Diceros bicornis minor: one gene and its partners. The protein of the gene in region 2 purifies or fractionates together with the protein of the main gene of each other region. This does not show direct contact. Links are inferred from orthologs where the notes say so. Each region holds a gene or a part of one and is shown on either strand. Other genes may lie near its edges.

What was found. The genes of interacting proteins can lie anywhere in the genome.
Region 1: the proteins of PPP1CA (region 2) and CCDC85C purify together in Homo sapiens (affinity purification with mass spectrometry; 4 studies listed by BioGRID and IntAct, counting the BioPlex papers as one, with this or other methods). This does not show direct contact. The link is inferred for Diceros bicornis minor from reciprocal best matches to the Homo sapiens genes PPP1CA and CCDC85C.
Region 3: the proteins of PPP1CA (region 2) and ADISSP purify together in Homo sapiens (affinity purification with mass spectrometry; 4 studies listed by BioGRID and IntAct, counting the BioPlex papers as one, with this or other methods). This does not show direct contact. The link is inferred for Diceros bicornis minor from reciprocal best matches to the Homo sapiens genes PPP1CA and ADISSP.

What each region holds. Positions count from the first base shown.
Region 1 is NC_080763.1:44,739,523-44,747,497, forward strand, and holds the start of CCDC85C (coiled-coil domain-containing protein 85C), read right to left. Parts: upstream 3,018-7,975; 5' UTR 2,770-3,017; coding exon 1,989-2,769; intron 1-1,988. UniProt on the Homo sapiens protein: May play a role in cell-cell adhesion and epithelium development through its interaction with proteins of the beta-catenin family. May play an important role in cortical development, especially in the maintenance of radial glia.
Region 2 is NC_080770.1:6,127,278-6,134,969, reverse strand, and holds the start of PPP1CA (serine/threonine-protein phosphatase PP1-alpha catalytic subunit), read right to left. Parts: upstream 3,006-7,692; 5' UTR 2,937-3,005; coding exon 2,882-2,936; intron 2,383-2,881; coding exon 2,251-2,382; intron 2,105-2,250; coding exon 1,874-2,104; intron 1,266-1,873; coding exon 1,161-1,265; intron 746-1,160; coding exon 522-745; intron 440-521; coding exon 305-439; intron 233-304; coding exon 122-232; 3' UTR 1-121. Other genes in the region: TBC1D10C (carabin), read left to right, coding at 4,497-4,735, 5,497-5,596, 5,822-5,929, 6,018-6,124, 6,318-6,432, 7,136-7,201, 7,323-7,512. UniProt on the Homo sapiens protein: Protein phosphatase that associates with over 200 regulatory proteins to form highly specific holoenzymes which dephosphorylate hundreds of biological targets.
Region 3 is NC_080758.1:32,165,067-32,172,293, forward strand, and holds the start of ADISSP (adipose-secreted signaling protein), read right to left. Parts: upstream 3,018-7,227; 5' UTR 2,909-3,017; intron 1-2,908. UniProt on the Homo sapiens protein: Adipocyte-secreted protein (adipokine) that acts as a key regulator for white adipose tissue (WAT) thermogenesis and glucose homeostasis at least in part through activation of protein kinase A (PKA).

The DNA.
Region 1 (7,975 bases), on a different chromosome or scaffold from region 2:
TTAAGAGACAAACCTAAACAATAACAACCCCATCTGTAACTGAAATTTGTGATGACGCTGAATTTTTATTTCGCCCCAAAGCAAAGCTTTGCCACCACAAAATCTACAGCAGTCCTGTTCCAAGTATGCGTGGGACTTGGAGGGGCATGGATTCTGCAAGAAACCCTACACCTCAACCCTCCCACCCCGCAGTGGGGTGGAAACCCTCAGGTGGAGCCCAGTCCCCCAGTCCTGCACCACTCACTGCTGCAGATGAAACACTGGGCCAGACAGGGGCCACGTCTCCCAGTCCAAAACACGACAGAACTTCCTGCAGATTACGCTATGACACTCAAGCACTTCAGTGCCCTGCAGAGAATCACTCTGGCCAAGTGTCACTATGACACAGCTGAAAACCAGAACCCTTTCCTTTCCCAGGCCCAGGACTGCAGCAATCCCCTCCTCTGTGTTGTACTTGGGGAAACTGGGGCCCAGAAATCTGGCCCTCCCAAAGCTCCCAAGAAGGCAAGGCTGGAGAGGCTGGGACTGGGACCTCACTCCCCAGACCCTGAAACCCCAACAAATTAAACCACCTAACTTTTGAGCTACCCAGACTGGCCTTAAGGAGCCTGTGGTGGGAGGTGGGGTGGATACAGAGTTACAAAGAGAAACCAGAGTTGCAGCGGTAGATTGCTAATCAGTAACAAAATACCCCTCTCAGCCCAGTCCTGCCCTGAACTCACAAGCTGGGAGGGTATTAGGAAAAACTGTGCTGGCCTAGCATCCCACCTCCACCAGCCCAGTGCCCACCGCAGCCCCCACTCCAGGGCACCTGCAGAGGCCACTTGGCCACCAAACCAAAGACCCAGCGTCTCTCCCCTGCTCAGGCTGTCACCTGGGGAAGCACAGTCATTTAAGGCCTAGATACATTTTCTCTGAACGAGGAAAGGCTTTAAAAGAGCCAGAAAGGGCTGTTTAATCTCCACCTCCAGCAGCAATTGCCACCAGAACTGGGAGCCAAGCCACCAAAAATGTGGAAGAACAGGGAGGCAGGAGAGGAGCGAGGCAGCGGGGAGGAGAGGGACTGACTGAGGGCTGGGCATGATAGCCGGCTGCTCTGCTCCACAGACCAAGCTGGGGGCCCTCTGCACTGGGCCCAACAGTCTCAGGCATGGAAGACAGTACCTGGGCTTTCCTAAGGCCAAAGGTCCTCCCACTGACCACCGTGGCACTTCCTATAAGGCGACCAACAGTTTACAAATCCCTTCAGGGGCTTTATCTCCACCTCAAATCCCCAAGGCAGGAACCATCATTTCCATTCTACAGATAAGCAAACTGAGGCAGGCAGAGAAGAAAAGCCAAGATCCATTCCAAGCACATATCCCCCTGGAAAGTCCCCAAGCCTCGGTTGAGAAAGTTCCCTCCACCCTGAGCAGTGCAGGACTCATAGCAAACCAGGAAGCCTCTTAGCCCTGGTCCTCTGACCCAGCTGCCTCCCCTTCTCAACCCGGCTGCCTGTGCTCCTTCCCATCACTGCAGACAGGGCCGGGGAAGCCCAGGTGGCATTCCAGCCACGGCACACACTGGCCGCTGCTCAGATTTGGGGGCCGCCTGTTGCTCCAAATTACAGGGAAATTCTTGCGCTCAGAGGACCTTTCATGTTTTTCCATGAAGAACTTCCCGCTCCCAGACAAGGATCTCCAAGGCTGGAATGAAGTGCCCCCAGCCAGCCCTGCGGTGCTGGACACTGATAATGACAACTCCACAGAAGAGAAACTTTTCTGGGGTCTGGCAGGTCCCATGCGGGCTGCAGATTAGGAGCTGGGCAGGGACACGCCTCCACCACTTGACCAGAAAAACACCACCCAAAGCCCCACTGTGGGTGGCCGCGGCATCTCCCTGCCCAGGGTTCCGATGCCAGCTGGAGAAGGGGTCTGGAGTGGCGGCCGCCCCCGGAGGAAGAGGCTGTGGCCCCGAGACCCGCGCGGCCCGGCCCGTGCTGTCCTTACCGTGCAGGCCGTTGGGGATGCTTCGGTGGTGCGGCGGTGCCGACAGGTCGTCCAGGGACCTGCGCGTGGCTACAGCCTTGCCGTCGGGGGCCTTGTGCGGCCCGGGGGGCAGCAGCGGGGGCGGGACGTGGTGGTGGTGGTCCGGGCTGCCGCCGCTGCCCGCGCTCGACGTGCTGCTGCCGTCGCCCACGTCGCGGGTCCCCGCGCCCGCCGCGCCGCCCGCCAGCGGCCCGCTCAGGCTGGCCTGGCTGTCGATGGAGCTGCGGGAGCCCGCGCCACCGCCGCCCCCCGCGCCGCCCGCGCCCCCCGCCAGCGCCGCGCGCTCCTCGTCCAGCAGCAGCACCAGCTCCTTGAGCTCTAGGTTCTCGCGCAGCAGGGCCTCCTGGCGCGCCTCGAGTTCGCGCAGCTTCTGCTGCGAGCGGGCCACCTCGTGCCACACGGCGCCGGCCGCGTGGCGCCCGAAGCGCTGCCACTCGCGCGCGAGCTTGCGCCCCTTCTGCCGGTCGTCGTCGAGGAAGCAGCAGAGCTCCCGCAGCTCCTGGTTGTCGTCCTGCAGGCGCTGGTTCACGTCCTTGAGGCCGCGGATCTCCAGCAGGTGCTGCTGCAGCCGCCGGTTCACGTCGCGCATCAGGCCGCCGTGCTCCAGCATGAGGCCCACCTTCTCGCCCTCGGCGCGCCGCAGCCGCCGCGCCAGCTCCTCCTTGCTCCAGCGCAGCAGCTCCTCGTCCGGCACCTGGCTCAGCTCCTCCGACGCCGCCGTCGCCGCCGGGGGTTTAGCCATGGCGGGGCCGTCACCGCGGCATCGCCCGCGCCCTCGCCCGGCCGGCGCTCCCCGCGCCGGTGCTGCGCTGGGCCGGTCCGCGCGCGGGCGGGGGGCGGCCGGGGGCGCGTGCAGCCCTCCCTGCGCTGCCTCGCGCGCCCACACGCAGCGCCCGCCCGGGCGGCCCGGGAACCCGCGCGTCTTGGGGCTCGGCGAGCGGGGACCGCAGCTGCGTCGGCGGCCGCCGCGCCGGGTGCTCTCCGGGCTGAAGCGAAGCAGGCGGAGGCCCGCCCCCCGCCCAGCTCCCGGAGCCCCGGCCGCCCCGCCCACTCCGGGCGGGGAGGGGCGGGGCGCCGCGGCCCGGGCCCGCCTCCGGGGGAGCGAGCGGGTGTAGAGGCGCCACAAGCCCCCGACGTCCCCCGGCTCCGTGCGCCCGCCCGCTCGGCGCCCTGCCAGAGGCGCGTTCGAGCCGCGGTCCCGCCCTCCTGCCCGTCCGATTGGGCCTCTCCGGGGGTGTGTGGGAGGGGCGGGGCGCGCGCAGGGGACGCCGCCGAGATGGTACAGTCCACCCCTGGGCTTCCAACCCCCCTCCCGGCGGTTCAAGTTTCTGCGCCCGGAGGACGCGGCCTTGGCCAATCCCAGGGCTACAGGGAGCTTTTAAAATGCAGGTACGGCTTCGGGGAGGGGGAAGGTGGGAAAGGTGGGGCAGGGCTTCCCTTAAAGGAGACGCGCGGAAATGGGCGCCGAGCCCCTTCCCCGGCCCGCGTACCCCGCCCGCCCTGCCCCGCCCCAGATAGACAAATACTGTACCCACGGTCCGGAGGACAGCTCCCCTTCTCCCTCCCGGGGACACCAGAGTCCAGCATAGTCTGAGATACGAGGAACAATAGGACTCTGACACAGGGGTCGCTCTCCCCGGCGGCAGGGCAGCTCTTTGTCCCCTTCTCTGCCCCCGGCTCCTCCGCCCCCACCTCCACCCTCGTCCCCTGCCGGAGCGCGCAGAGAGGCTGCGGTTCTACTCCAGACCGGGGCTGTGGCTCCGGCGTCTGCGCACGGGGAGAGCCAGGGCCTCGCCAACCGTGTCCCGAGCGCGGTCCGTACCCTCTTCTCAGCCCGGAGGGGGCCAGGGCGCCGGGAGCTTGCCCTAGCCCGGAGCGGCGTTCAGAGCACCGCTCCCCCGCCAACTGGACCACTCGTCCCGGGAATTCGGGGGAGAATCTGTGATTCGCGAGGTGGAGACCGACCACTGGGGAGGGTGGAGCAAAGTCTCCTACTGGGGTCTTAACGCCAGGGTCGGGGGGCGCCGAGCCGCACAGAACCCCTTCACCACCGGCAGCCTCGCCCGGCACGCGAGTCTTCCCACAGCCTGAGTCTGTCTCGTTATCCGCGCGTCCCCGAAGCGCGTTTACGACGCGTCTGCCGCGAGCCGGGCGGTGGGGGGCGTCCCTCCCCCGGTATCCCCAACGAGATAAAACCCGCGCGCTCGACCGTGAGCGGCCACAGCCTGGAGCGCGCGCCCGCGCCGCGGCTGGTGTCCTGATTTACAGCAGCTCAACCATTCGCTCGACAACTGTGTACCCAGTGCTTGCTCTAAGCCAGGCCTGTGCTAGACCCCTGGGGGGCTCTGCAGGGGACGACAACAAAGGCCACTGCCCTCTGGGGGGACTTTGCACTCTAGGGGAAGGAGGGGAGAGAAGATAATAAACAAATTAGATAACTGAGACTGTCGTAAGTGCCGGATAGGGGATTAAGACAAGCTGCTGTCACAGAAAGTGATGATCAGTTACTTTAGATCCCGTGGTCAGGGAGGTCCTCTGAGGAGGGGCATCTAAGCTGAGATCTGAGTGACAGGAAGGACAAAGATAAAGGGGAAGGGCAGTCCGGCGGATGGAACAGCTAGTGCCGAGGCCCTAGTGGCCTCTTCCAGGGAGGCCAGTGGGGCTGGGAGTGGGCCAAGGAAGAGAGATGAGAGATGAGCTCAGAGGGACAGGTTATGCATGATTGGAAGGCAGCTGGGAGAGCAGTGGGGGGTTAGCAGGAAGCAACATGACCTGATGTGCCTTTTAAGAGGCTCACTGTGGCCTGTATGTGGAGAAGGGGTGGGGGGGTGCAGAGAGGGGCAGATTTGGTACCTCATTCCCCACCTGTCCGCCCCTCTCTCCAGGTGGATGGTCAGGAGAGGGGGATGGGGAGACGATGAGCCAGAGGGGCATGGCTTTGAGGGTCAAGCCCAGGGGTGCTGAGGGTCCCCCAGACATGGCCCAGGTGAGCCAGCTCCTGGCTCCTGGGTGGAGGGGCATCCTCCTCACCGGGGCTCTGTGCTCCGCAGGCCGAGCCCAGCGCAGCCTGAGTTTGGGTTTGGAGAGGGAAGGGGTTTCAGCTCACACTTGGGGAGGCTGCAGGTCTTTCCTAACCCAGGAAGCCAGATTAAATAGCTCCCTGGAGGCTCCCCACAGAGCAAAGCCTCTGCAGAGAGCTGCTCCTGGGAGAGGGAGGGATGAGCATAGGATACTGTGGCTCGCTAGGAAAGTCACTGAGACGTTAACACTGTGCTTGTGGCCCCTCCCCATTTGTTGTGGCCCCAAGTGGTTCCTGTGGCCTGCAGCTCCGTCTCCTGATCCTCCAGGGCTAGCAGCTTCAGCTGAACTTTCCAAGAGAAAAACAAAGCCTCCATCCAGGCAGGGTTTGTTTTGCATCGTCTACAGGCAGTGGGACCGAGAGTGCCCCGGCCAGGACCCACGAGAGCACCTCTGACACCCCCCTGGTGCAGCAGACAAGGTGCTGGGACGAGGCTACCCTGTGGCTTGAGGGAGACTCTGCTCTCTGCACCCTGGCTGGACAGGCTTGGGCAGATCAGAATAGGACAGCGGGAGGGTGGGTGGGCCCAGAGCTGAGACAGGGGCCTGAAGCAAGAGGGACCGTCCAAGCCAGACCCCCTCCCTAAGGGCCCTCGTCCCCCAGGTCCAGCAAGAGGTGCTAAGCCCCCTAGAACTCTCACCATCCCACAGACGCTGTAGCTGAGCCAGGACCCGATATGTCAAGCGTCTGCTTTTTCAGCTCCGTGGTCATGATAAGCTTTGCTTTGTCGTGAAGACAGTAAAACCAAATCGTGGATCTCTAACAGTAGTTCTCTAGCTGCCCAGTGAAAGTAGCTGTGGGTCTTTTAAAAAATGAAGATGCACCACCACTCCTCAATATTTTTCTTTAGGATCTCCTGGGCTGTGTATCTCCATTTAAAGCTGCACAAATGTTTTTGAGAGCCAGCTGGGAGAGAGCCAGTATACTAACCCATAGTAGACAAAATATTCCAGAACGCCGGGTCTGTGAGACTGGGAAATGATAACAGCATACTGGTGGTAGGCAGACTGTCTTCCCACTGGGAGGGGAGGGCTGTCTTATTCTCCTCTGTGCCTGGACCCTGAGCACAGACCGCAGAGCAGGCATCATTTGATGTTTGCTGAGTGAATGAGCGACCCTTTGGCAAGTGACCAATGGAGTCAGCCCCTCGTTTTGAAGATGAGGAAACTGAGCTCCGGAAGGGAAATGACTTGCCTCAGGTCACTTTCATTCATTGGTTTACTGAACACACAAGCATAATTAGATAAGTATTTATACATAAATGCATCTATATGTGCAACCATATATGCACTGTAAATGCTTTGTGTAGGTACCACAACAGAGATGAGCAGAATGCATCATTATGGGAGCATCCTGAGGCGCTGGGAGCAGCTTCCTGGAAGAGGTAACTCCCGAGGTGAATCTTGAAGAGCAAGTAGGAGTTTATCAGATTGAGGAGAAGAGAGGAGATGGCTGGGATACACCAGGTGGAGCGAACAACACAAGCCAAGGCCCAAAGGTGAACCACAGTGAGGTGTGTGTGTAGATACAGCCATGCCTTATTGCTGGAACATACTGCAGAGGCACTGAACAGCAGCGAAAAGTCACAGAGCAGTCAGGTAACGGAGCTGGGCTGAGGAGGGCTTTGTGAGCCACGGGAGGAAGGGTGGCCCCTCCATGGGGCTGATAGTTATCAGCAGGAACAACAAGAATAATAATAACCATCACCTCCTACAACTTACCCAGCACACAGTATGCACCAGGACTCTAACCCAGCCCTCTTGTGATGATCATAACGACCCTATGAGACGGTGTCGTGAGCCCTTCTGAGACGGTGTCGTGAGCCCTTCTAGGATTTAACATGGATGCCCGTTGGCTTGGCTGTTTGTCTCCACGAAGCTCAGGTCACCGAGTGTGAACTTATGGGCAGTTTTCGGAGGTTGGTGGACACCCAAGGACTCTGGTGTGGCCAGTGGAGGGTTGTGTGGTGGCTGAATGTTTCTGCGAGTCAGTGAGGCGATGGCAGCTGACCAGGTCTGGGGCCAAGCTCTGCGATTTCTTCCTTGACGACCCCCCCGGGGAGGGGAAGTCACCATGCATGGCTGAAAGGCTATGATGCGGCAAGAAATCAGGGCCCATGCAAAAGCGACCATGATTATTGTTAACAAAGAGTAGTGTCAAGGGAGCACTTTCTGTGTACCCGGCACGTGCTAGGGCTTTACGTGGGTTGTCTCGTGCAATCCTTACCGCAGCCCTGTGAGGGGGGAACACTCTAGCCCGTTTTATAGAGGGGGAAACTGAGGCTCACGCAGGTCAAGTCACTTGTCTGAGGTCACAAGCGAATGAACTGGGATTTGAACCCAGGACCATCTGAGCCCAAGAGTGCACTTTACCCTATAAACTACTCCTTCTCAAAGAGGAGGAGTGGACCAGCTGCTCTGCGATGTCCCTCCCGCTGTGCGTCTAGTTCTATGATGCTGGGGGCCTGCACTGTGCCAGGACCACGTGCATCACCCCACTTCCTCCTGCTATAGGGCTCTCACGTTGTATCCGAGCCAGAGACTCCCCAAGCCGCTGGACAGCCAGGCGTGGCTGCAGCTTCCCAGCTATTCCTGCGGGCAGATCACTGCAGGTTGTTGGCTCTATCTCCCAGCTCCTCTGTCGCTGACTTGCTGGGTGACCTCAGGCCAGTCCCTACCCTCTCTGAGCCACAATTTTCTCATCTAAGCCCTCACCCACAGGGCCAGTGTCAAGTACCTAGCAGAGCTCTTGCAAAGCTCTGGAGGATCGAGCCACGCCCCCTCTCCCTGCACATTCTCCCCATCCTCTGGACCATGACAGTGTTCCCATAAGGACATTTGCACCCATTTTCCAGAGGCAAACACTGAGG
Region 2 (7,692 bases):
AAAATACACCAAGGCTCCGCGTTCCCCATAATGGGTAGGCCTGGGGAGCCAGTGTGACGCCCCACGGCTGTGTGATTTCTGTACAATCCACCATCTGGGGCAGAGGGCGGGCACACCGAGGCTATTTCTTGGCTTTGGCGGAGTTGCGGGGTGGGGTGATGGGCCGGCCTCCAGGGTTCAGGCTACTGAACTGCCCGTATTTCCCCTTGTTCTTGTCGGCGGGCTTGAGGATCTAAGAGAGACAAAGCTGGTCAGCTCACGGGGCCACGCCAGGGACCACCAGCCCCTTCCTCCCCAGCCCCACCTGGAAGGAGCACATGAGCGTCTCGTCCACACTCATCATGGCGCCTGCGTTGTCAAACTCGCCACAGTAGTTGGGAGCTGAGAAAAGTGTCACCAGCTGCCGCTTGGCAAAGAACTCATAGCCATCTTCTACCACCTGGAGGAGGATGGGGGCGGTTAGTTCAGCAGGTGCTGGCTGCCCAGGCCCCGTTCCCACCGGCCCAGAGCTGCCAGCCCACCTGATGCGCCCGGCAGATGAGGTCCAGATCGTGCTTGTGCAGGAACTTGGCCACCACCTCAGCCCCGAATGTAAAGGAGACACCACGGTCGTTCTCGCCCCAGCCTTGCACGTCCTTGTCAGGGTCGGACCACAGCAGGTCACAGAGCAGCCCCTGGTCAGGCACATCCGTGGGCCGCATGATACGCCGGATCTGCTCCATCGACTGCAGGTCGGGGGACAGGCCTGGGGGGTGCAGAGCATAGGACGCTTCCTCAAATAAGCCTCAAAACAAGGACCCCCTCCTCCAGACAGCATGTGCAGTCAGCCTCTGCCTCCCCCGTACCACCTGGCTGTCTCCTGGGAGCCCAGGCAGGCAGAACTCATCACCTGCCTCTTCAAGTCCCTGCCCTCAGGGAGCACACAGCTCCCTGGAGAAAGGAGACAAGTGAATTCCATGCTGGATGCTGAGGCCACAACAGGGGAGCGAGTGCGGCCTAACACTGGGGTGCAGGGGGACTTCCTGGAAGAAGGGATATGCGAGCCCAGACGCCAGGGAGACCTGTTCCAGGCACTCTCTTCATCCCAAGGCCCCCAGGGATGTGGCCAGGCTCCTCCTCCCCAAGCATTCCCTCAGCAGGTACCCCAGAGCCGCCCTCACCTCCATGGCAGCAGAAGATCTTCTCATCCACAATGGCAGCGATGGGCAGGCAGTTGAAGCAGTCGGTGAAGGTTTTCCACAGTTTAATGTTGTAGCGCCTCTTGCCTGCCCAGAGTAAGGAGATGGCTCATGAGGAGGCCTGTCTGCCTGACCCTCAGCCTGGGTCTCTGGGCCCTCCCAGGCACTTCGTGGGCTGTTCAGACACAGCTGGGAGAAGAGAGTGGAAGGCAAGAAGGGAAACCTCCAACCCCACCCCACTGCCTACCAGCCTTCTAAGAGGAATTCTAAAGCAGCTGAGTGCACAGGAACCTAGAGTTCCAATCTGGAACAACCTCAGGTTTGGCACCCACCCCGTGAGCAGGAGCAGGGCCAGGCCAAGACCAGGTCTGGTTTATCTCAGCTTCTGGCCCACAGAGTCCAGTCCAGATAGGCATCCTATGTGCTTAAGTAACGGATGTGCCGGAGGGAGTGTTAGCAGGCAGGGCCCTGCATGAAAATATGGTCAGCTCTTCAGTCAGCAACCATTCACCAGACCCCTCCCGAGTGCCAGGCCCCAGGCCAGGAGGGCAGGGCCCTGCCTTCACGGAGCTCGCAGTCCAGCAGGTGTCTGTCAGACACTGATATCCCTACCACCAGGACAATGTGAGGGCCCCACTGGATAGCGGGGAGAGCTCTTCAGGACTTGGGCAGCCCCAGACACCCAGCCCACTCACACTCATCATAGAAGCCATAGATGCGGTTGATGCTGGCACACTCGTGGTTCCCACGGAGCAGGAAGAAGTTCTCGGGGTACTTGATCTTATAGGCCAGCAGCAGGCAGATGGTCTCCAAAGACTGCTTGCCCCGGTCCACATAGTCCCCCAGGAAGAGGTAGTTGCTCTCTGGAGGGAAGCCACCATACTCGAACAGCCGCAGAAGGTCGTAGTACTGGCCGTGGATGTCACCTGTGACCCAGGGAACCGGGGTCAGCACTAGGTGCAGGGTAGAGACTTGAATCCAGGGCCAGGGTTGGGCTCAAGAAAAGGGATCCAGGGACTCTAGGGGCCAATGCCACTTGCAGGAAGCAAAGGAGCCTGGGCACGGGGCTCACCACAGATCTTGAGGGGCGCCTCCAGCTCCAGAAGAATTGGCTGGCTCAGGAAAATCTCCCGGGATTTGAGGCACAGACCACGGATCTCGTTCTCCGTCAGCTGTACATTCTTTCCAGGTCGTGAGCCCTGCACTGGGGGCGGAATGGGGCGTCAGGACCCTGGCCCCTCAGGCAGGAGGAGGGTGGGCGACACGGGTGGCCCCAGGAGCACTTCTGGAGGCTCCCAGGCCCCTCCTTGCCCAGGGGCAGCTGTTGCTGCTGAGCCTCCCGGGACGGGACCCCAACTACCCTCAAGTCACTCGAGGGGGCTGCTGTGCGCAGGGGCCTGCCACCCAAACCCCATAGCGCAGGACCCCTCCCTGGGGGGCTGGGCTTCTCACGTTTCACCCTCGCCCCAAGAGCCCCAGCCACCCCGTGCGCCCCTGGCCCAGAAGAGGGGGCTGCTCCCCGTGCCGGAGCGGCCCCAGACCTCCTAGGCGCGTCGCCAGTGGGGGGGCGGCCGCGGCCCTCGCGGCCCGTCCCCGCCCAGTCTAAGCTGGCCCTGGGAGCGGCAGGCCCGCCCGCGCGCCACTTCCGGGCCGGGCAGGGGGCCAGGGCGCGGCGGGCGCCGACCTCCCCCGCCCCGGCCAACCTTCCAGCAGGCGCCCGATGATAGAGTCCAGGTTGAGCTTCTCGCTGTCGGACATGGCGGCGCCGCCGCTCCGGCCCAGCAGCTCCGGGCCAGCTCCTGCCTCCCGCCCTCCCGCTGCCTCCTTCCGGCCTGGAGCTCCTTCCGCCATCCCGGCCCGCCCCGGCCCGCCGCCCCGCCTCCTCGGCCGCCCGCCCCGCCCGTCCTATGACCGAGGCCCCGCCCCGCCCCGCCCCGCCCCGCCCCGCCCGCTGCCCCAGCGCTCTAGCGCCTCCGCAGGACGCCAAGCGCAGCAGCCCGGGAGGCGGGGCCTCGGCTGTGGGCGGGGCTTGGGCCGGGCTCGGCGTCTCTGGGGCGGGGCCTGGTAGGTGGGCGGGGCCTTGTGGGGCAGGGTGGAGTCTGGCTCCGCCCCTGAGGATCACCCAGGCCCCTAGAGAGGATATGGGGCCGGAAGTACTGTGGAAGTTGTTTTTATCTTTCAAAAGCTAAACAGTCCTTCCCACCCCTACTCTGGGCGAGGGGGCGGTGTGAGCACAATGATAACGGTCTCCCCGAACGCTGCAGATTAAGTCCTCGAAGTGCAGAAAAGGAAACAGCTTCAGATATAGCGAGGGGCTGGTCCAAGACCGGGGCCTCGCATTCACCGAGGACCTCTACCTCGTGAGTCTCTTTGGCCCCCAGGCGCTGAGCAGACCCAGGCAGCTGCCGCAGCACTGCGAGCCCATTTTGGTCCACACTGCCTGTGGTGCACACTAATTATTACTTTTTATAAGTCCCATCATTGCCTTCTGAGTAGCATAATGATGCTGCATTGTGTGTGTGTTAAAAGTATTACTTCGTAAAGAATAAACATTAAAGAAACCATAATTCTTTTTTTGTGTGAGGAAGATCAGCCCTGAGCTAACATCCAATACCAATCCTCCTGTTTTTGCTGAGGAAGATTGGCCCTGGGCTAACACTAACATCCGTGCCCATCTTTCTCTACTTTATATGGGACGCCACCACAGCATGGCTTGACAAGCAGTGTGTGGGTGCACGCCCTGATCCTAACCTGCGAACCCCGGCCGCCGGAGTGGAGTGCGCGGACTTAACCGCTACGCCACAGGACCGGCCCCAAAACCATAATTCTTATTGGAACCCTGATTTGAGTGTTTTACATGGCAGTAACCTCAAAAGTGGAGGTGGCCTGGTCTCTCTGCCTCTTGCAGGCCTTGGCCCCATCACACGCAGCACAGAAACCCAAGCCTGCAGCCACCCAGCCCATGGGGAGGGTGGGAGGAGCCCATGGCCCAGGGGCACTGGGGCAGGCCGGAAGAGCCTCGGAGAGGAAGGGGTGACACCCCCTCTACACCCTTGGGAGGGGCCCCCCAGTGGGTTGCTGAAGCTGTGGCTGAGGAGGAAGTGAGAGGAGGAGGTGAGGTGCTACCGGGAGGTAAGCTGGGCTGGTGAGGACAGGGGCTGGGCCTGGGGCTATTTCCTGTACAGAGGCCTGGACTTTCTGCCACTTTAGGGCCCAGCCCCCCGCAACAGAAGAGGGGACAGAGGGGGCTTGGTGAAATACCCTGAAATCTCCCCCCTCTGATGCTGCAGCCAGGCCCTGGGGCTGGGACCTGGCTGGATGGGAGCCCAGGCCCCAGGCTGGCTGGGAGCTACCTCTCACACTGGCTCTCCCCACGTCTTGCAGCCTGTGGCATCCGGGGGCACCATGGCCCAGGCCCTGGGGGAGGACCTGGTGCAGCCTTGCGAGCTGCAGGATGACTCCAGTTCTTTGGGGTCTGACTCAGAGCTGAGTGGGCCCGGCCCATACCGCCAGGCTGACCGCTATGGCTTCATCGGGGGCAGCTCGGCAGAGCCAGGGTAAGTGGGGCAGGAATGGGGTGCTGGGGTGCTGGGATTGAGGATGAGGGCTGAGGGCTGAATTCTAGAGTGAGGCCCAACCTCAAGGGTCCTGGAAGGATCTAGGAACTTAGCCAGTGCCACCCCTCCTCAGGCTCCAGGTGGAATCCCAAGGGTGGCAGGACTGTGGGTAGGGTGTCCCTGTATACTGTGGGTAGGGTGTCCCTGTATATCTCTTTTACCGCCAGCCTCTGAGGGTGTGCACCCACCCTTAGGGCTGACCCTTCCCCTTTTAATCTCTGGCCCAGGAATCCCAGATCCAAATCATAGAACCTCTTCTCCCACCCTCACCCTTTCCCAATATACAGACAGGAAAACAAGTCCAGAGACAGACAGGAACTTGCCCAAGGTCACACAGCAGATCAGAGCCAGAACCAGACTCAAACTCGGGGCTTCTGGCTTCTAGTCCGGGGCTCTGTCCACCCAGCTTCCCCTGTGAGTTGTCTGTGTCCCTATCATGCGGGACAGCCAACCAGCCCCTCCCCCAACACACACCTACACACCCCCTTCAGTCTTTCCTGTTTCTGCCCACATGGGAGCCACTTTCTTTCCTGTCCCCATGACAACTACTGGCAACTCTTGGGTGACAGATCACCCTGCAGGGGTCCCCAGAGATCTCCAGGGCCAGGACCTGGGCTAACCCAAGTACCATAGAGGGTGGCAGATATGGGCTCTAGGTAACAGCTACCCAGCACCTGGATGCCTGTACCATGTGCCCCCAGACCAAGTCACCCTCCTGCAGACCTTATCCGCCAGCGGGAAATGAAGTGGGTGGAGATGACCTCACACTGGGAGAAAACCATGTCTCGGCGATACAAGAAGGTGAGGGGAGAGTGGCCCCACGCAGGCCTCCTCGGCTCATTCCCCTTTGCCTCGGCCCCTGCCCCAGCAAAATTTACCCATCCTGTGTCCCAGCACCTCCTGCCTTTTCTCCCTACCACCCAAAGTGGGCCCCTGCCCAATGACAAGTTGTGCTTGGGGCCTGCCAACACGGCCCGGTGAGGCTGGCCTGGCTGGCCTAATGGGGCCCCTTGGCCTCACCCACAGGTAAAGATGCAGTGCCGGAAAGGCATCCCCTCAGCCCTGCGGGCCCGCTGCTGGCCCCTGTTGTGTGGGGCCCATGTGTGTCAGAAGAACAGCCCTGGCACCTATCAGGTAAGGGGGGTGGCAGGGGTCCTGCCTCCCCTTCCCAGAGCCCCTCGCCGCTCTGAGCCCTCACACTCATCTTCCTGCCCACCCACAGGAACTGGCTGAGGCCCCTGGAGACCCACAGTGGATGGAGACCATAGGCAGGGACTTGCACCGCCAGTTCCCTCTGCACGAGATGTTTGTGTCACCCCAGGGTCACGGGTACGAAGCCAGTGATGCTCAGGGACCCCCAGCCCCACAACCCCCAGGCACGTCGGCCTAGTCCCCCACCCCTTTATAGCCTTGCATCTCAGGGGACCCAGCAAGGCGCAGGGGGCTGAGGCCTGGGCAGAGGCCGCCAGAGGGTGGGAAGGGCTGCCCAGAGGACTGGCCCCAAATGGGTCTTCTGGCACAGGCAGCAGGGGCTCCTGCAAGTGCTCAAGGCCTACACCCTGTATCGGCCTGAACAGGGCTACTGCCAGGCCCAGGGCCCTGTGGCGGCTGTGCTGCTCATGCATCTGCCCCCGGAGGTGAGTGCCCTTGACCCTGCTCCAGAGACCTGAGACACTGAACCCTCAGCCCCAGTGGGACCCAGTGATCCATGACCCCCAACCCCAGGGACTCTGACTTCAGGGAGCTAAGACCCTTGATCCCCAATCCTAGGGACCTGGGGACCCTGTAATCCTGTGCCCTGGGCCCATGACCTCCAACCCCAGGAACTCTGGCCTCAGGGACCTGGGATCCTTGACTCCCAGATCCTGTCCCAGTGACCTGGGGCCTCATGACCACCAACCTCAGTGTTCTTCAAGCCCAACCACCTTGACTCCAGGAACCTGGGACCCTTGACCCCTACCCTTACCCCAGTGATCTAGGAGTCTGGCATTATCACCTTCACCTCGTGACTCCCGATTCTGAACCCTGTGATCCCTGACCCTAATAACCCCAGGAGCCAGGATTTGAACTTTGAGACCCTCCCAACCCTTGACCAGTGAACCCCAACCCTGTGACCCTCAAATTCAACACCCTGAGCCCTGTGATTTCCAACCCCTTAAACCCATCGGTAGGCCTCTGTCTGGGCACGGGGGAGGCATTTGGTAAGAGCCCCCCCTGCAGTAAGTCCATGCTCCTGGCTCCAGAGTCACCCCAGATGGTGTCTAGGCCCTCCCCTCTGCCCCTTTCCCTTGCCCTGCAGTCCCCTCGTGTGGGCACTCACAGCCTGTGCCCTGCCCCCAGGAGGCCTTCTGGTGCCTGGTACAGATCTGCGAGGTCTACCTCCCCGGCTACTATGGGCCTCACATGGTGAGAGGCTGGGATGGGACCAAGGGTACAGGAGGAGGGGCTGGGAAGGCGGGTGGGGGCCCGGGACAGAGGGGACAGAGCCTGAGGTTTGGGAGTGGAGGTGCTGACGGACTGGCCGCAGGAGGCCGTGCAGCTGGACGCTGAGGTGTTCACGGCCCTGTTGCGGCGGCTGCTCCCACGTGTGCACAAGCACCTGCAGCAGGTGGGCGTCGGGCCCCTGCTCTACCTGCCCGAGTGGTTCCTGTGCCTCTTCGCCCGCTCCCTGCCCTTCCCCACCGTTCTGCGTGTCTGGGACGCCTTCCTCAGCGAGGGTGAGTGGGCGGCCGGGCGGGTGGGAGGGTGCCCAGGGCTGGGAGCCTTGGGGTGCGCGGTGTCTGCAAAGAAAGCACGCCAGCTCTGCTCTGCCTTGCCTGCTACTGCCAATCCTGGGTCTGAGTCTGTGTGCCAGGGTGTGCTGAGGGTGATGGCACCATGCCCCGCTCTGGGGAGAC
Region 3 (7,227 bases), on a different chromosome or scaffold from region 2:
GGACCAAGCACTCAGGCACTGCCTGTAACCCTGTGGCAGTGAGAACACAGAGAGGGGAGGCAAGTGACTTTAGGGGCCCAGAGGAGGCTGGAAAAAGCAAGCCTCCAGTCACTGTCCCCTGCCAGCAGAGAGCCCTGCGAGTCACTGTCCCCTGGGAGCCACTCTTGTCCAACATAATTCCTCATCAGAAGCAGGCCTCCTCCTGCTGCAACTGTGCCTACAGGGAACCGCTAGGCCCCCTGGCAACCCTAGGCCTCTTCCTGTGCCAGCCAAGTCCTGAGCATGGCCCAAACCGCACAGCCCCCTAGAGGCAGCAGGGACAAGGTCAGGAGCATAGGTCCAGAGCCCAGCAGTTCTGGTTCAAATTCAGGCTGCACGGGCAAGTTACTTCGCGTCTCTGTGCCTCAGCTTCCTCACCTGTAACACAGGAATAAGCAGTGGCCTCTTCCTCGGAGGGTTCAGTGCAGCTGATGCCTGAAAAGCTCTGTGACAATGCTCCCCACTCCACCCCCACCTTCGCAAAAAGCAAACCCCCAAAGGCCTGGTTTCCAAAGCAACAGCCGTTTCAGGGCAGCACTGATGGAGAGGCACTTCAGGTCAATCCTGGAACAGCCAGGAATGGCCCTCAGGGTGGGCCCCAGGGATTTCTGCCTTCTCAGAAAACAGCTCAAGTGTTGAGGGGCCTCCCTCCCCCTCCCCAACTCTCAGGCCAGCCAGGTCCCCAGGGATTGCCAGAGAGCAGACTGCTGGGAGCCCACTGTCCCTCCCAACCAGAGGGACTCACAAGGAAGATGTGAAGAATGTACATCCTGGGAAATGCCCCCACCCGGCAAAAAAAAAAAAAGATCCCCCCCCCCTTAGATGGGCTGTCAACAAGTCAGGAGTGGTATCATGACAGTCACACGACGGGGAGGGCTGGAAAGCTGGAACAAGGGCTTTGCAGGGCTTCTTTGGCTCTCAGTTACTCTCAGGGAAATTAGGGAAGCCTTCTCTCTGGGAGACAGAAAGCTGCCAGCTCAGGTCCCTCTCAGCTTTAGAGAGAAAGGCTGCTTTGAGGTAACCCTACCCTAGACACGGTTCAGCCAGGCCCAGTGGAGCCTCTGGCCTGAGGAGCAGACCCAGGGACATGGCAAGTGGGCAGACAGACAGACAGTAACACAGGAACCCAGAGTTCTCAGCCCCCTAGACTCCTGCCCCACAGGGCTAGCTGCTACTCTAGGCCCAAGGCTCCAGACTGGAGGGAGGGCCAAAGACAGTTTGTCTATGGCAAAGTGGAGCTCCAGAACCTGCCACCCTCTGGCTGTCCACCCCACAGGTGCACCCCCACACCACTTCTCTGCCCCAGAGGCAGCCTCCAAATCCAGGCATCACAGGGCCAGCCCCAGCTTGTCCTCTGCTTTGTGGTTGGGAGCATACCCCCAGCCTTTAGGGGCCTCGTTTCTCATCCATTCCTCAATCCCCATTCTCAGCCTGTTCAAGGATTTTCTGAGCCAGGAACTCCACAACCTTCCACCCTCCCCAACCCCAGCCCAGGGCTTAGTCCAGGCTTAAGGACTCAGTCCAGCAGAAACAGTGTCCAGCCTCTCATTAAAGCTCAAGCTTGTAAAAAGAGCACCCACTGAGGCCAAGCTGACCTGCTGACTCCAGACCTTGACACGGGGCTGGCACATAGTGGGGGCCCGCAAACTAGAAGAAAGCTTAGAAAAGCAAGGCCAGAGGTCAGGTGTGGTTGTGGTAGCTTTACATCAACTCAGTCTGGATGTGACTCCATTTCCTCCTCCGCCCAGCATGCCAGAAGTGCAAAGATAAGTATGCGTGTTCTCCCTCTCACAAGTGGATAGATCAGGGGTGACCTGGGTAAGGGATCCCCACCATCCTACACTCTCCTGTCTCCCCAAGAAGTGTTGCCCTGCCTGCCCAGCATCCCTTCCCCACAACCCCCCAACAGCCCCAGCTAGAGGGTGCTTAGACCCCTCTAGCCTCTACGGGCCTGCCCCACCCAGGCCCCGCCCTGGGCCTGTCACCTGGAGGCCCCAAGAAGTAGAGGCCAGGCCAGGTGTAGGGGGTGACAGCTGCCCCTGACCTTCTTAGCTCCCAGGGCAGAGAAATGCCCTGCCCCCACTTCCCAATGCCAAGATTCAAGAAGAAAGGCAACCTAAGGCCTCCCTTCTCAGTCCAACAGGGCTCCTGCTCACCAACAGGAACAGTGGTCCAGAACCTAAATTGAACCCCTCATGGTGCGTGACAAAGCGGAGGTGCTGGCCAAGCCCCTAGAGGTAGCAGGGATCGCGGTGTAGGACCCTGTATCCTCTCCCGCCTCCATCCCCGCGGGTGTGGCGTTCCCATCCCCGCCCCATTCTCATCTTCTGAAGGGACTGATGGCGGCTGGACGTGTCTCCCCCCATCACACTCATCCTGGACTTCGAGGCAGCGGCTCTGTCCCTCAGAGATAATCCTGCGCCCTCCCCACCCTCACCTCTGCTGACGCAGGAATCTTGGGAGGCCGCACTCCCCGACATCACCGCTCTCCTCCCTGAGGGTGCCGAGGCACGCGAGGCTCAGAGAGGCTACTCGTCCAAGCTCACACAGAGAGGTGGTGACAATAAGGGGGGTGCTGACGGCGCTGACCCCATTACGCCCCCGCCCTCACTGTGTCACACGTGCCCCCGACAGCGCGCCGCGGAAAACACCCCGGCTCCACCAGCTAACCGTCACCCGTGACCCCGGGGCCTGACATCTCCCCAGCTCAGGTACCACGGAGCCCTCCTGGGCCGGGCCCCGACAGCGGAGCCCCGCCCCGGCCCGTTGGAGTCTCAGGCACCGACTGCCTAGGACAGCGGCTCGGCCGGGAGGGGATCTCAGGGAGCCGGGTGGAACCGGGAGGTGGCTGGAGGAGGAGCAGTCTCACCGTGCGGGGAGCACTCGGCGGCCGGGACGGGCAAACACAACAGCGGCGGCTACGGCGGTCGCGGCGGCTACGGCGGTCGCGGCGGCAGCGGGGGCTCAACGCCGAGCTCCAGGAGGGACCCCCGCGCCGCCGCCGCCCTCCTCACGGGCACGCCCCTGCCTCCACCCATTGGTCGATCGAAGGGGTGGGGCGAGGAGGCTTCGGACCAATAAGTGGGCGCTAGAGAACCTCCAACGGGCGTTGCGCCACTGCGTCACGTGCAGGGGGCTTTGCGGCTGCGCCGTGCGAGCCCACGCCTGCCCGGGCGAGTTCTCGCGATGAAGACAGCCGGGCCGCCCGTCTTGGCCAGGGGCCAGCATGGGGCAGAAGGGAGAGAGGGAAGGGAGGAGTGTCTCGAATTGGCCCCGCCCGCCTCCCACCTGCAGCTGTGGAGTTTGCACTTCCCGCCTCGGCGCCAACTTGGAAGGGGCCGTCCCCTGGGCTCTGTTCCCTCGAGCGGCTGTAACGCAGGGCTCAGGGCTAGGTGGGGCATATGAGGTTGCCTTTCTCCTTAGGCTTCCAGGCCTGCATCGGCAATCGATACGGGCATCGCTAGGTCCTTTCCATCCTTCCCGCTCTGCGACCGCCGGGTTTCGGCCTCTTCCCCTTCCACCCCATGCCCCTGCCTCGGAGGAAACGCTCCCGCGCGGACCTGAGACGCTTCCTGGGAGCCCAGCGGCCGGGATAAGTATCAGAAAAAAGAAGGCACGCGGGTTGGGGGCTTGAGAGAACCTATGCCGGCGCCCCTGGGGACCGCAGCCTCTGCTCCCGGTCTCCATGGAGGCGGTCGCCATGGCAGCGGGATGCGCCTAGCTAAGCGCCGCCGGGTGGGATGTGCGCACAGGCGCACGGCTTGAGAGCGAGAGGCGTGGCCCTCAGGTCTTTAGGTGCCCTTGAACAACACCCCCTCCACCCCTCATTTCGCTGCCCCTAAAGTGCCCGCGAGGAACCGTCCGGAGCACGCGGCTCCCTCCTTCCAACGTAACCAGGGGAGAAAGGGCATGCCGCGGCTGAGGGCCAGCTTTCTTTTAGAAGGACCAGGTCGCTCTTTGGGGAGCCCCCAAGGCTCCTACCCTCCGCTGGATCCTTGTGGCCCCTAACCTATCTTCTGGTCTCTGGTCTGCACGCTGTTGGCAAATTAGTCTTCCTGAGCTATTGTTTCCACCGCGTCTTCCTCTGCTCCAACACGCTCCCTGCTCTGGGACTGTCTCCAGCAGAGCTTCACAAACTTTTTAGCAGAATTTTGGGTGATTCGTGCACACTCTGGCATTTGAGATGCTGCCCTCTAGCGCGGGCATTGAGAGAGTTCCACATTCTGATCCCAGCCAGGTGGTTTCTTACTACCCAACCCCACCGTTCCATGCGCCTCACTATGGCTCCCCCCCAATTGTATTCCCATGTCTGTTCTATTCTTCAGGGTCTGAAGTTGGCAGACACTGGGCCCAAAGCAGGCTGCTGATGTATTTTGTTTAGTTCACATGAAGCTTTTTAAAATTCTAATTATTCTTCCTCTTCTCCCTCTTCTTCCTCTTTCTTCTCTTCCTCTTCTTTTGAAATATCAGGAGATCTAACAACATGGACTCACATTCCAACCTGTCACCAAAAGCTGGCACATCAATATGCCCCACCAATCCCTATTTTGTCACATTTTTTTTACCTTCTGGGTCTGTGCAGACATTTGATTTCATGATACCCTCCTTATGCTACCTTCCCACCTGGAATGCCCTTCCCACTCTCCTCTTATGGGCAAAACTCACGCTCCCTTGGAGACCAGGTTAAGGCCTGCCTTTTTTACATCTTTTTAGCCAACTTCTCAAACCCATCCCTAGTGTAGGCTCTTTCAAACACACAGACTAGCTGCTAACTGTGCACTGCCTGGGGCTATTTCCTAATTGTCAACTCCTTTCAACAAATATTTACTAAGTGTATATAATGAGCAAGTTACTGTGCTAGGCCCTGAAGTTAAAGGCACTCACAGCTGAGAGTGGGAGGTGTACCACACAAAAAGAACTGTGGTCTCCTGTGTCTGCCTAACACTCCTCGCACTCCCAGGCACTGGGCAATCTGGCTGACTGGCCAACTGGGAGGACCTGTAATACAGAGCTCCCCATGCCTGGGGATACTACAGGCTCCCGGGAAAAGCCCCAAGGCCACAGTAAGTGCCGATGGTTCCCAAAAACCTCCCAGAGGAAATGAAACTCTTCAAACCAGGAAGAAGTCAGAGTAGAAGGTAGATGGCTCCCCCATCACGGCCCAGTGGGCCTGTGTACCAAAGAGAAGGTGTGCCAACATCAAAGTGGTCCCCAGGCCCTGGGACTTCCTGTGCAAAGGGCCTTACCAGAGGCAGACAACTGTTTGAGGGAAGTCACAGGCTCCCTGGAGATGAGGGCAGTATGGGAAGGAATTAGGAGCAAATCCAGGTTAGGGAAACAGGTTAAGCACATGTAAAACATCCACTCCAGCTCCAAACACATGATATTCCAGATTCTATTCTTTTTAATAAAAATTAAACAACTGTAACCTCATTGGAAAACTGCTTGGAAGTATCTAATAAAGCTGATAAATGCCAACTCTATGACCCAGCAATTCCACTCTTAGTTATACCAAAAGACATGTATACAAATATTCATTGCAGCACCATTTGTAATAGCCCCAAACTGGAAACAACCCAAGCATCCACCAATGTTAGAATGAATAAATAAATTGCACTATATTCATCAGTGGTATATTATACAGCAATGACAAAGAACAACCTACTGAATACATGCAACAATATGGATGATTCTCACAGACAATATTGAGCAAAAGAAGCCTGACACAAAAATAGTATATACTGTATTGTATATTCTAGTACAAGTCTTGGTAAATATATGTCTGCATTTCTCTTGAGTATATATTGAGGAATGGAATTGAGGGAACATAGTTGTGGTGGCTTTATAATGTGTCAACTTAGCTATGGTAAACTATATTTCCCAGAATTCTCTTCCATGTATGTTTCCAGTTAGGGTGGGCCACAACAGACACTTTTGCATGAGCTATGGAGGGTGGAAGAAAAGCAGTGGCTGTATTGGCTTTTACACTCGCAAGGTCTAGACAGGAGCTTTGTAGCCCGTGCACTTTGTTGCTGATCTGCTGCTCACCTCACTGATATGGGGTAGCAGCCAGGCCTGAAACTGCTCCACCTTTCCCTGGATCCTCCTTCAGCTTCTGTGACTCCTGGGGCCAGATAACAAAGGGCACCAGCTTTTCCTGCAGGACACTGACATCATCAAGTTTGCAGGCAGTGGGAACTGACATAAGGTCCCTTTTGTCCTCAAGGGTTCCAGCTTATCCTTGCGGATTCCAGCTTGTCCTTTCTCTCCTACACTTTATATCCATCTTCCCTTCCCAGCCGCCTGACCTGTGAACTTTAAGCTCCAGCATCAGATGCAAAAACGACAGACTTACAGAGACTGTTGAACAGTTACCTGAAGTCAAATCCCTGTAACAAATCCTTTCTGCTTCTCTGATTGAACTCTAACTGATACAATAGCATAGGCATAGGTTTGATTTTGTATGAAACCGCCAAACTGTTTTCTGAAATGGTTGTACTCACTTACACTCCCATCAGCAGAGTATGAGAGTTCTTGTTGCTTCACATCCTCATCAGCATAAAAATTAGCAATTAATTTTGTAAAAACACAACACTGTGGAAACCAAAGCAGGGCAGCAGGCCACCAGTCTTCAGCCTCTGCTCTGAGCCGTGCCCTTGTGGAGGACGATTTCACAATATCAAGAATACAAATGAGTGTATTCTTTGACCTAACAATCCCAGTTCTGGAATTTATCATGCAGATATACTTGCACACAATACTGAATTAGGAATGTATGAGGTTATTCATTGTTGTATTGTTATTAACAAAAGTTTAGAAACAACTCAAATGTCCTTCAATAGAGGACTGATTAAATAAATTTGGTAGAGACAATAGAATTTTAGATGGCTTTAAAAACAGAAGAAGTTTTCGACGGACTGATATGAAAAAATCTTGTATTAGTTGAGGTTCTCCAGAGAAACAGAACCAATGAGATGTATATAGATATAGATGATATAGATATAGATATAGATACAGATACAGATATAGATGATATAGAGATTGATTTATTATAAGGAAGTAGCTCATGCGATTATGGAGTTATGGAGGCTGGCAAATTTCAAGATCTGTAGGATGAGTCAGCAAGCTGGAGAGCTGATGATTTAGTTTCAGTCCAAAGGTTGGTAGGCTCAAGACCCAGGAAGACTC